Linked DNA regions of Macaca mulatta. The protein of the gene in region 2 interacts with the protein of the main gene of each other region in a biochemical or structural test. Links are inferred from orthologs where the notes say so. Each region holds a gene or a part of one and is shown on either strand. Other genes may lie near its edges.

Region 1 (4,152 bases), about 1.7 Mb from region 2:
CAAACATTTGTGTACAGGCTTTCAGTACAGAAACAGTGTCAGGTGCTGCACAGTGGCTGTTGTTCATTTTGTTTTCCCCACACCTTGCACCCTTGCACCCTTGACAAATGATGTGGCTGCCACATCATTTGTCCTTAATAGCTGCTGAATGGGATCATTCAAAGTCAATCTATGGATAAAAACAATTAGCCCTGATACTCTGATTTCCAGTCCAGTGAGGGAGACAATGAAAGTGACAGCATCACATGACATCACAGTATTAACATTTTTGAGAAATAGAAGTGCCTAGATTGACATCTTGGGATAGAATGGGCCACTGAACATACAAGGTTAGGCCAAGTCTAGAACCCACGCACTTGTCCCTCACCTTCCCCCAAAGTGTGTGAAGGGGGTGCGGAGGACCTGCATGGAGGAATAAAAAAACTCACTGAGGTAAAGTCATCAATTATAACAAATGTACCACCCTGGTGGGGGATATTGATAACAGGGGAGGCTATGCATATATGGGGCAGAGGGTATATGGGAAATCTCTGTTCTTTCTGCCCAACTTTGCTGTGAACCTAAAACTGCTCTAAAAAATAAAGTCTATTAAAACAAATCTCATTGGGGAAATGAAAAATTCACTTTACTTGGGGAAGGGACATGTGGACTTTTTGATTTTTACAATTCTGACTGGGAATTAGAAGTTGAGCTGAGTAGAAATGAGAATGGGAGTGGGTGCCAGTTTTACAAGTATCAAGCTTCTTGCTTGGGCAAATCTGTCATGACTAACCTGCCGCATTTGCAAAGCATTTCTTCCTGGGTTTTATTGGGGCTTCACAAAAGGGTGTGTATTTAAAAATAAAAACACTGAAAAGCTTTTGGAAAGATTCAAAGAAGAAAACATGCAATGAAGTGAGCAGCCTCCGATTGGATAGACTTGCCTTGTGGGGCTGGGCTGCTTCTCCCTGACCGGTGACTTCCAAAGCCTCAGTAGGACCAGCTATTGGTCAGCAGTGCCTAAGATGCTATGGGCCAGGCTGGCCAAGAGGCTAGCAAGCACAGAGATGGAAAAGTCCAGCTCACAGTTCAGCACCATCACTCCTTACAGTCACCAAGAAGTGCTCCAAAAATGGTGCAGTCACAAATTGGTTGCAACGAGGGAAGCGTGGCTTTCCCTGTGACCACTTAAAGTGGTTCAGTTTGGTTTTCTGAGCCCTGAGCTCAGTTCTGTCTCTCCTAGACCTTGGGAAGTATGACCCATGGGTCTGCAGATTCCAAAAGGAAGTGGCTGAGCAAGCCCTGTTCATCTGGCTGTCTGGTAAAAGACACATCCATTGTGCAGCACCCCCACATCCCTGGTATATCTCGGTGCTTTTCCTGGAAAAGTCCATATTGGATTTGCGGTCTTGAAAACCCCAAGCTTAAAACACCCTGGGCCTCAGGATTTCCCCCCTTGTCCGTAATGCCACCTCTTCTACTCCAGGCTACCTCCCACAGTCTAAACAAATAAGCAGAAAGAGATTCTCACCCCACTCACACAGGCAGTCCAAAGTCCACTTCTTGCTTGGCTTTTTCTTTCTCAAATACCTTTTCTCATAGCCCTGATACTTCTAAACAGAAAGCAAGAGCTTGCCTTGGGAAGAAGATATCCAGAAAGACAGGAACAGAGTCCAGATCCAAAGGTAGCCCTTGTCTGGCCTTCCTGCTGGAGCTACTCTCTGAGGGTCCCCAATTTGCATTTCCCACATACTGTAACCAGCCCTAGGCTCCAGAAATCCCAACTTCTTCCCTCTTGCTTTCTTGGACCTTCTCTTCCAAGAAAATACACACCAGTATGACCACATTGTGGTCACTGCTGGTTATTAGCCAAAAGCCTGGAGTTTTCACTTCTACTCTCTCTTCCCATTCTAGCCAATGCTTTCTGTTGACCCATGCTCCTGGTTTGTCAGGCTGCATGGGCACAGATTCCCTCCTAGGGCAGGGATGTAGGGCAAATCATCTCCCAGAGCTCACTCCATCCAGCTCAGTCTCTCTAGGCTGGATCTTTGCCAGAAAAATGCCCATGTAAAACCAACCACTCAACCAGGACTTCTACCAGAGCCTGTCACCCTAAGACTGGTCAGAGAAGTGACTGGAGCCTTTGGCTTAGAGCTCCTCATTTCCTTGGAAGAGGGGCTGGTGGGCTTGAGTCTTGGAAACCCAAGGGCCCAGGAACTCATAATGTTCCTTCCTCTTTGAAAGAGGCAGTTGAAACTGACAGCCAGTCCCTAAGGAAGAGTGACCAAACACAATCCCCAGCCCTGCACCTTCTCTCCATCCACGAAAATATGCTGATTCCAGGCAGCTAACGTGGGACTCAAACCAGCAGGCAGATGAACACTCACCTGTTCCATAGCTTGCCCCAAAAGCCAGGGAGAGAAATAACACAAAGGTCAAGGAGAGGAGCCCCTTGGGATCCATCAGCCAGTGAGGAGAAGGAAGGGGTCCTGGTCAGAGCCTGGCAGCTGCTCACAGACGCTAGGCAGAGCGAGCTTCGTGTCATGCAGTGCTGCCTCTGCTGTCTAATTTATGTATCAGGAACCAGCAGGTTCCTGAACCCGCTTCCTGTATCACCGGGACTTTTTCTGCTTGTGTCTTGAGGATTGCTCATCTCCCATGAGGCTTTAAATCACTTTTTTCTTCTCAAGAAGCAGGCTTCTCAAGAAGCCAGGCACTTAGCCTATGGGAGCCAGGAAAGGGGGTGTGTAGTCACTTCGGCCAAACCCCGGCTTTGGGCAGAAACATGCACCCCTGCTTCTTTCCTTAGCTGCCTCCAGGAACCGGATGTTGCAGATTATCTGAGCAGTTCTCTCCGGTAAGTCTTCTTGGATTGCAAAGAAAAGATGTTTTGTCAGATCACTCCTCAAATTTGGCAGTTCACAGCTGAATTTAGATGACTGCATTTTGATGAGCTCATAGACCTCTTACTTCTGTTTTATTTCATAATTTCAGATAACACTTCAACATGTAGTCTGGTGCGGGTGCCACTGTCACAGAGAGATGGGATGGGCAAGTGCGGGTCACTTGGAAGAAACCCTGTGACCCCAATGAGTGCAATGTGGTATAATTTAGTGTCCCATGCTCCTAGTTTGTCTTCTCACATGTGTGTGGATTCCCTCCCAGGCAGGGATGTAGGACAAATCTATCCCAGAGCTCCATCCTTCCAGCTCAGTCTCCTTGTTGTGTTTGTTTTTTCCTAATTTTTAACGTCTGTGTGTACATAGTCAGTATGTATATATATAGATGTATGGGGTATATGAGATATGTTGATAGAGGCATGCAATGTGTAATAATCACACAGGGTAAACGGGGTATCCATCACCTCAAACATTTATCCTTTGTGTTACAAACAATGCAATTATACTTTTAGTTATTTTTAAATGTGCAATTAAATTATTATTGACTATAGTCACACTGTCGTGTTATCAAATACTAGTTCTTATTCATTCTTTCTATTTTTTGTACCCATTAACCATCCCCACTTCTTCCCCAACCCCCACTACCCTTCAGCCTCTGGTAACCATCCTTCTACTCTCTGTCCACAAGTTCAATTGTTTTACTTTTTACCTCCCACAAGTGAGAACGTGTGAAGTTTGTCTGTCTGTGCCTGGCTTATTTCACTTAACATAATGATCTTCAGTTCCATCCACATCGTTGCAAATGACAGGATCTAATTCTTTTTTAGCTGAATAGTACTCCATTGTGTATATGTAACACATTTTCTTTATTCACTCATCTGTGATAGACACTTAGGTTGCTTCCAACCTCGGCTATTGTGAATAGTGCTGTAATAAACATGAGAATACAGATATCTCTTCAATATACTGATTTCTTTTCTTTTAGGTGTACAACGAGCAGTGAGATTGTGGATCATATGGTAGCTCTATTTTTAGTTTTGTGAGGAACCTTCAAACCATTCTCCACAGTGGTTGTACTAACTTATAGTCCCACCAACAGTGTACAAGGGTTCCCTTGTCTCCACATCCTTGTCAGCATTTGTTATTGCCTGTCTCTTGGATAAAAGGCTTTTTAATTTAACTGGGGCTGTGTTGTATTCTGGGAGTTGCCTTTATTTTAGAGTTTGTGTCTAACTTTTCATTGAGGAGAAGGAACTAGTATTGGCAGAAGGAA
Region 2 (4,333 bases):
CCAGCTTCATTGTCTTCTCCATATCAGATCGAAGTTCCTAAATTCACCAGTCTTATCACTTCCCTGCTCAGAAATCATCCATGTTTCCCTGCTATCTATAGAACCATTCTTGTAAAACTCCATTATCTTATCCCACCCTCCTTTTCCAAAAGCTGGTTTCCAAACTACATTTTAGGAACCTTGTATGTAAATCCTTTAAAATAACCTAGTTCTAGACTCCTGTTCCTACCTCCTCCCCTTCATAAAATGCCCTCCATCCCATTTACATGTAATCAGATCTTATCCACTCTTTGTTTATTTTATTTTATTTGAGATGTAGAGTCTCTCTCTGTCTCACAGGCAATGGCGCAATCTCAGCTCACTGCAACCTCTGCCTCCTGGGTTCAAGTGATTCTCATGCCTCAGCCTCCCAAGTAGCTGGGATACAGGTGCACCCACCATGCCTGGCTAATTTTTGTATTTTTAGTAGATGGGGGTTTCATTATGTTGACCAGGCTGGTCTCAAACTCCTGACCTCAGTGATCCGCCCACCTCAGCTTCCCAAATTGCTAGGATTACAGGCATGAGCCACCGTGCCTTGCCAATATATATTTTTCTTTAAATGGTACTGTGGATGTAGGTATGAGAGAAATAGCCTGTATCTCCATTACCATTTAAAGAAAGAAATATGTCCCTATGTATTCTATTAGTAATGACAATCACCTTTGTCTATAATCAGACTTCTGAGCCTATTCCAAGGCCCATTTGTGTACTTCCTTGTAAAATCAAGTTTTGGCAAAGAACTCTACTATGTCAGTTTGGCAAGGACTCCTCCCTCACCCTAGCTATCTGATCACTGTCAGATTCTGATCAGATTCCTCATCCTCCACCATCCCCCAGGCAACATCTGATCACCCTGGCCTGTCTTCAGTTACAGTTCTGTTAGGCTGGCTTAGCCAGAATCCACTTTACCCCTGCTGTTTCCTCTGAGTAATTTTCTATCTACTGACAGCCACACTGCTCCTTGGCCATAAATTCCCACTTCTCCATGCTGGATTCAGAGTTGAGTCCAATCTATCTTCTGCACCGCAAGAGCTCATTGCAGTGGTCACTGTACCTTTGTGATGATCCTGAATAAAGTCTTCCCAACCATTATTTAACAAGGGACATTAAGCAATTTTTTTCTTTAACAAGAGACACTTGGATTTTAATTTCTGTTACAGGTATAGTAAAAGGTTCAGTGGTCCCTACTTTACAAAGAGGAACATACATAAAAATAGGAGGTTTCTAGTGATTTCTGTTCAGGATTGCTTTCTAAACTGGGCACAAACAAGTTCCTTCAGCTGGGTCTCTTTGATACTGTGGCCTGGAATTTTTTTTTTCTTTTTCTTTTTTCTTTTTGAGATGGAGTTTTGCTTTTGTTGCCCAGGCTGGAGTGCAATGGCGCCATCTCAGCTCACTGCAACCTCCGCCACCCGGGTTCAAGCGATTCTCCTGCCTCAGCCTCCCAAATAGATGGGATTACAGTCATGTGCCACCACACCTGTAATTTTGTATTTTTAGTAGAGACGGGGTTTCTTTTTTTGGTCAGGCTGGTCTCCAACTCCCAACCTCAGGTAATTCATCTGCCTCTGCTTCCCTAAGTGCTGGGATTACAGGAGTGAGACGTTATGCCCAGCCACTCTTTTTACTTTTTTTGGAACAGAGTCTCCCTCTATTGCCCAGGCTGGAGTGCAGTGGTGCAATTTCAGCTCACTGCAGCCTCTGCCTCCTGGGATCAAGTGATTCTCCTGCCTCAGCCTCTCAAGTAGCTAGTATTACAGGCACACGCCACCACACCAGCTTAATTTTTGTATTTTTGGTAGAGATGCGGTTTTGCCATGTTGATCAGGCTGGTCTCAAACTCCTGACTTCAAGTGATTCGCCTGCCTCAGCCTCCCAAAGTTTTGGGATTATAGGCATGAGCCACCACGCCCGGCCTGGAATTTCATATTTAACTTAGACTCTGGAAATTCCAAATGAGTTTTAACACAAACAAATTATTTGAGAAATTCAGGTCTCTGTTTCTTTACTTATGAAATGGTGACTGCTTATGCTTGCCTCGATAGACTACAAGGATGAAAGGAAATGATGAATATTGAAGTCCTTTACAAATCTGACAAAATGTGAAATATGATTGTATTTATAGTTTAACTATTGCAAGCGGATGCTGCAGAATAAGTAGTCCTTCAGATTGAAACTTCTTAAAGAACCCCTAGCCTTTTCCATACCAAATAAACAGATCTCTGGAGGACAGGACCTCTGACATTTTCTCCATCCCCCTGTACCTTTGCTCCATCCCCCTGCACCCCTATACTTTCTGCAGCCCTTCCCTTCCCCACCACCATATCCCTCCTGCTGCTGCAGAGTCTGCTTGCAGGGCCCTTACACTAGGGAGAGCAGGCAGATGGAGGAGCATGGACAGATACATTCCTGTCCTGGCAGTGTCCATTAGTTCTCACTCTACTCATTGAGACTCCAAAGTCAGAGTGAAATACTGAGGGATATGAATTCCTGTACTGTGTGGCAGCCATTGCCACATTCAACATACGATGTCAGATGTGTGCAAAATGAGGCTACTCACGAGACACAGAGGCACAGGACTCCTGGTATCGACTCGCTGTCTCTTAACAGAAAGTTGCCATCCACCCCTTCCTTGAGCAGCAAGGTCTCACAGTCTTGCTTGGTCAGACGTCCGTGGTAGTAAGGCAGATCCATGGAGAACCCTCTTGTATCCCAGGTAGCCCTGTTGGCCTGAAATTCACCCCCAAGTCAAGGGACAGCTCTGGGGAGAGATGTGCAAGCAGTTGTACCTACTGTGGAAATACCTCTTCCTCTAGTGGTCTGCGGGACTCAGCCAGCTTCACAAGATTCAGGAAATTAGAAGGGCGGGGTTATAAAATGACCAACACTTTTCACCCTCTAAATGGCCCACATGTGACTTGCAGAAGTGGGTAAAGCACATTTAAACACACAATGGAATCAGTGATGCTCATAGCTAGGGAGGCAATGCTGAAGTCAAGCTTCCTGGAACTTGTTGAAGCCTTGTATGTTACCATGGACTATTATCACCTCTGGCTACTGGTATCCCTTCCAGGAAGCACACCACTACTTTTGCTCTAATGGTACCCACTTTCTGCTGAAGTTGCCTAGGATTGGGCTATGCTTGCCTTAGACTGGGTGCTCAAAAAGCATTTGGATGCTGAGAGAATTGATACGCTCAGATACAGTGGGAAAATTGAAAGGGTGGGATTTCCATGGGTCAAATGACACTAAAAATGGAAGACATTAATGGGAATAAAAAACAGTGGGACACTATGCATGAGGACAGCCCATTCCATGGCTAAGGCTCCCAGCCACTGGTGAAAAAAGGCCATTTGAACACCTTCAAGCATTGTTCCTTTTGGAGAAAGGGCTGGTGCAGGTGGGAGGGATATCTGGGTATACTCATACATCTACAGAAAATCAGTATATATATCTCAAAAATGTTATCTATGAAAATAGAACTATGTGCTAATGATTCATCTTTACTTCTCTTAGCTTCTTCTTCTTTTTTTTTTTTCTTCATCTCTGAAGTACCTGGAGATCTTAACTTCTTAACCTAGGTGTTTATTTCACCTTGCTCCTTTGCTTACCAGCTGTTTACTCACACTTGGGTGTATCTTATATGGAACTTACTTGTAACAGATCTTTGTTCTTCCTTGGAATTCCCACTCTTTGCATTTGGCATAGGGTAGTTTCACTGATTGAGGAACTTGTTATCAGAGAGATATGCTCTCAAATAGCAACATTTCTTCTGTGGTTTTGGACAATTCATCATTCAATTCTCTGGAAACTATGGCAGTTGAAGACAGAGTTGTTAATAACGAAAGAAGAAATTTGGTAATTCTTGTGAATAAATTCACAATTGTGGTGTGAAGATGCTTTTTGACATAAGAGAGGAAATAACAAAGCATGCTCAGGCTCTTGGTCATCACAGGGGCTTGCTTGCCCTTTTTCCTGTTTCAAAATCCAATCCTCACAATAAAAGAAATTCAAATTACCTCCATGCTGAGATAACAATTCTCACCTATCATATTGGTGAAAATCAAAAGTTTGAAAGCTTACTGGGTTGGTCATGGTGAAAGAAAATAGAATATCTTGTATATCATTCGTTGGAATAAAAAATAGTTACAACTATAGTAAAAGATGGTTTGGCAATATCTTGCAAATTTATGTATGACTTCACCATCTGATAGAACAATCTCAGTTCTAGAAATCTATCACAAAACTACACAGGCAGAATTGGAAAATGACTTGTGAATAAGGTAGTATT
Region 3 (3,648 bases), on a different chromosome or scaffold from region 2:
GCTCAACTATTCCCTCCATAGAAGAATCTCAGGGTAAACTGATACGACTTCTCCAGAGAACGGTTTGGCAACACCTACGAAATATTATCTATGATGCAGCAAATTCTCCTCTGAATACAGACCGTACATATTGCTTGCAAATGCTTTTGTCACTTAACAGAATCTTGCAGTGTTTTTCCATGTTCTAATACCGTGATCTGGATCTAGGATCCATATGGATCTGGACCCATATTCTCTTTTTTTTTTCTTTTCTTTTTTTTCTCGAGATGGAGTTTCGCTCTGTTGCCCAGGTTGGAGTGCACTGGTGCAATCTCGGCTCACCGCAACCTCCGCCGCCCAGGTTCAAGCAATTCTCCTGTCTCAGCTTCTCAAATAGCTGGGATTACAGGTGCCCACCACCACGCCCGGCTAATTTTTGTATTTTTAGTAGAGACGGGGTTTTGCCATGTTGGCCAGGCTGGTCTTGAACTCCTGACCTCTGGTGATCTGCCTGCCTCGGCCTCCCAAAGTGCTGGGATTACAGGCGTGAGCCACTGCACCCAGCCCGGACCCATATTCTTTTAATTTTTCTCATTTAGTTGTCTTTAAATTGAAACGCATGAATACATCCTTGTGATAAACATTGCCAGCACTATATACCCTAAAAATGCCAATGTGTGGACACTAGGGGGCATACAGAAGAATGCTCACTTGTGTATGGAGCTCAATTGCAATAAACTGCGAAAACAGGGAAACAAGCTCAATATCCCTCAAAAACAAAGTGAAATTACATCCATGTTATAGGTTGAATAATTAAAAAAGAATAAAGATGGTAGATCTGTCTGTACTCACAAGAAAGGATACCTCAAGTCGGAGGGAAAGTAAACTGCAGAATAGTATGAAGAGAATGATCCCATTTACATTACAAAATGTACACGCACACAAATCTGATGACAAGTGGAACTATATGAAATTGCTGTTTCTTGACCTTTTTTTTTTTTTTTTTTGAGACAAGAGTCTTGTTCTGTCATCCAGGCTGGAGTGCAGTGGCACAATCTAGGCTCATTGAAACCTCCGCCTCACGGGTTTTCTCCTACCTCAGCCTCCCGAGTAGCTGGGATTTCAGGTGTGCATCACCATACCCGGCTAATTTTTGTATTTTTAGTAGAGACAGGGTGTCGCTACGTTGGCCAGATTGATCTCGAACTCCTGATCTCAAGTGATCCGCCTGCCTCAGACTCCCAAAGTGCTGGAATTACAGGTGTGAGTCACCGCGTGCCCATTTTTGGTTTACACAAACAGCAATCTTATTTGACTCAACCTAATATAAATGTAGTGTGTCTATATAAGTGTGCAGAAAAGAGCCCAGAAGGATGAACACACAAGTCAATGCGGTGGTTCTCCCAGCCCACAGGAGAGGCTGGGTGGACAGGGAGTTGAGTGGTTTTGTAACATTTATACTTTTATGTTACTGAAAATGTTTATCACAAGGATGTATTCATGTGTTTCATGTGTAAAGACAACTAAATAAGAAAAATTAAAAGAATAAGGTAGATCACCATGTTAGAACATGGAAAAACATTTCAAGGTCCTGGAAAGTGAGAAAAAGCAATTTGCAAAAACAATATGAACTATGATTCTATTTGGTAAAAAGAAATATATGACTGGGCATGGTGGCTCACCCCTGTAATCCCAACACTTTGGGAGGCCGAGGCTGGCAGATCACCTGAGGTCAGCGGTTCAAGACCAGCCTGGCCAACATGGTGAAACCCCATCTACTGAAAATACAAAAATTAACTAGGCAAGGTAGCATGTTCCTGTAATCCCAGCTACTCAGGAGGCCAAGGCAGGAGAATTGCTTGAACCCAGGAGGTAGAGGCTGCAGTGAGCCAAGATTGCACCACTGCACTCCAGCCTGGGTGACAGAGTGAGACTCCATCTAAATATATATATATATATGTGTGTGTGTGTGTGTGTGTGTGTTAGAACGTGCACAGATAAAAATAACTGGAGAATAATATTAATGTATGTTAACTTATATATACATATTAGAATGTGCACAGACAAAAATAACTAGAGGAAAAATATTTCAAATTATTAACAGTGGGGATAGAACTGCTAGGGCATTAATTTATATTTCATGTTTTAATTTTACCATTTTAACAATGTGTTATTTTTATTTTTATTTTTTTTGAGATGGAGTCTCGTTCTGTTGCCTAGGCTGGAGTGCAGTGGCGCAGTCTCAGCTCCCTACAAGCTCCGCTTCCTGAGTTCATGCCATTCTCCTGCCTCAGCCTGCCGAGTAGCTGGGATTACAGGCGCCCACCACCACACCCGGCTAATTTTTTATATTATTTAGTAGAGACGGGGTTTCACCGTGTTAGCCAGGCTGGTCTCAAACTCCTGACCTCAGGTCATCTGTCCGCCTCGGCCTCCCACAGTGCTGGGATTATGGGCGTGAGCCACCGTGCCCGGCCCCAACGATGTGTTATTTTTGCCATCAGAAATAAGATATGATAAAGGGAGAGTTGGTCCCCTTTTATAGTAAGAGCCCCAGAGAGACCCCTGAAAGGAAAGTCCTCCTTTCTGCAGAAAAGACCCTCAGACTCACGAGTGGGTGCAGTTGATGGGGCAAGGCTGGCACGTGCCCTCCTCATCTGGAAACTTCCAGATGGGCATGTAGGAGAGGTCAGGTTTCACACCGCTGGGGCAGCGGGCCACGCAGAAGGGAGGGTCCTTATAGTGGGCACAGGCCACACACTGGTCAGCCTCCTGGGAGGGGCAGAAAAGGTTTGTAGGGGGCTAGCACTGACACCCCCAGGGCAGTAGGATCAGGCCCTTAGTTGGGTCCCCTTTGTGCTTCCCAAGGCCACCCAGCAGCAATTTTCACCATGCTCCTGGGACAAACACCTCTGCTCTTCACCCAGTCTCTGTGGACCCTCCCTCGGGGCCCTCCTCCAAGCTTGATCCTGGGCGGGGACTTGAGCCAGAGAATGGGAGGCACCCAGAGAAGAAAACGCATTACCTAAGGTGTAACAGCGAGTAACAACAGTCACTGCTGCATAGAAAGCCTTTCCCGGGCTTCACTGTGCCAAGCCCTGTTTAATTTCATTCTCACCACACCCCAGCAAGGTAGGTACTATTACAATACCCATTTTAGGAATAAAACACCAAGGTTGGAAGCAGGACCTGGGTCTGAATCCAGGTAGTCTGACGCCTGAGCCCGCAGGGCTAACCACCCTAGCACAGCCACAGCCACAGCCGCAAACGCAGACCTCCTTAGAACCTTTTCATAGTCTGAAGGGCCCCAGGGTCCCCCGGGCCCCCTTTCCTGCCACTCTGCTGCTGTTCGGGTCTGAGTGCTGAGCCCTCTCCAGGGATATTTTACCAGACGGCACACCCTGCCGTGTCTCGCCATCCTGCCAAGTCCCTGGCAATCCCCCTCGCTGCACCCCTCCACCCAGCTCTGAGCCCGCCAGCAGCTCACCGGTCCAAAACATGTCACTGAGCCATTCTGGGGCTGACACTCAGGGTGGCACGGCAAACAGTGTCTGGCATTCACATACTCCCTGGGGAGCCTGAGAGAAAGGACAGTGGTGAGCGGGTCTGAGAGGAGCCCCATGCACCCCTCCAGCCACCCCTCTCCTCTGCCCCTCATACCCCTGCAGT

The links.
Region 1: the proteins of SH2D1B (region 2) and SLAMF1 interact in a test that uses a peptide from one of them, tested with the Homo sapiens proteins (2 studies listed by BioGRID). The link is inferred for Macaca mulatta from reciprocal best matches to the Homo sapiens genes SH2D1B and SLAMF1.
Region 3: the proteins of SH2D1B (region 2) and ERBB2 form a complex in vitro, tested with the Homo sapiens proteins (2 studies listed by BioGRID and IntAct, with this or other methods). The link is inferred for Macaca mulatta from reciprocal best matches to the Homo sapiens genes SH2D1B and ERBB2.

What each region holds. Positions count from the first base shown.
Region 1 is NC_133406.1:106,184,244-106,188,395, reverse strand, and holds the start of SLAMF1 (signaling lymphocytic activation molecule), read right to left. Parts: upstream 2,816-4,152; 5' UTR 2,443-2,815; coding exon 2,367-2,442; intron 1-2,366.
Region 2 is NC_133406.1:104,486,936-104,491,268, reverse strand, and holds the start of SH2D1B (SH2 domain-containing protein 1B), read right to left. Parts: upstream 2,868-4,333; 5' UTR 2,737-2,867; coding exon 2,603-2,736; intron 1-2,602. UniProt on the Homo sapiens protein: Cytoplasmic adapter regulating receptors of the signaling lymphocytic activation molecule (SLAM) family such as CD84, SLAMF1, LY9 and CD244. In SLAM signaling seems to cooperate with SH2D1A/SAP.
Region 3 is NC_133421.1:64,070,382-64,074,029, reverse strand, and holds part of ERBB2 (receptor tyrosine-protein kinase erbB-2), read right to left. Parts: coding exon 3,640-3,648; intron 3,558-3,639; coding exon 3,467-3,557; intron 3,005-3,466; coding exon of another isoform or gene 2,903-3,004; intron 2,752-2,902; coding exon 2,591-2,751; intron 1-2,590. UniProt on the Homo sapiens protein: Protein tyrosine kinase that is part of several cell surface receptor complexes, but that apparently needs a coreceptor for ligand binding. Essential component of a neuregulin-receptor complex, although neuregulins do not interact with it alone.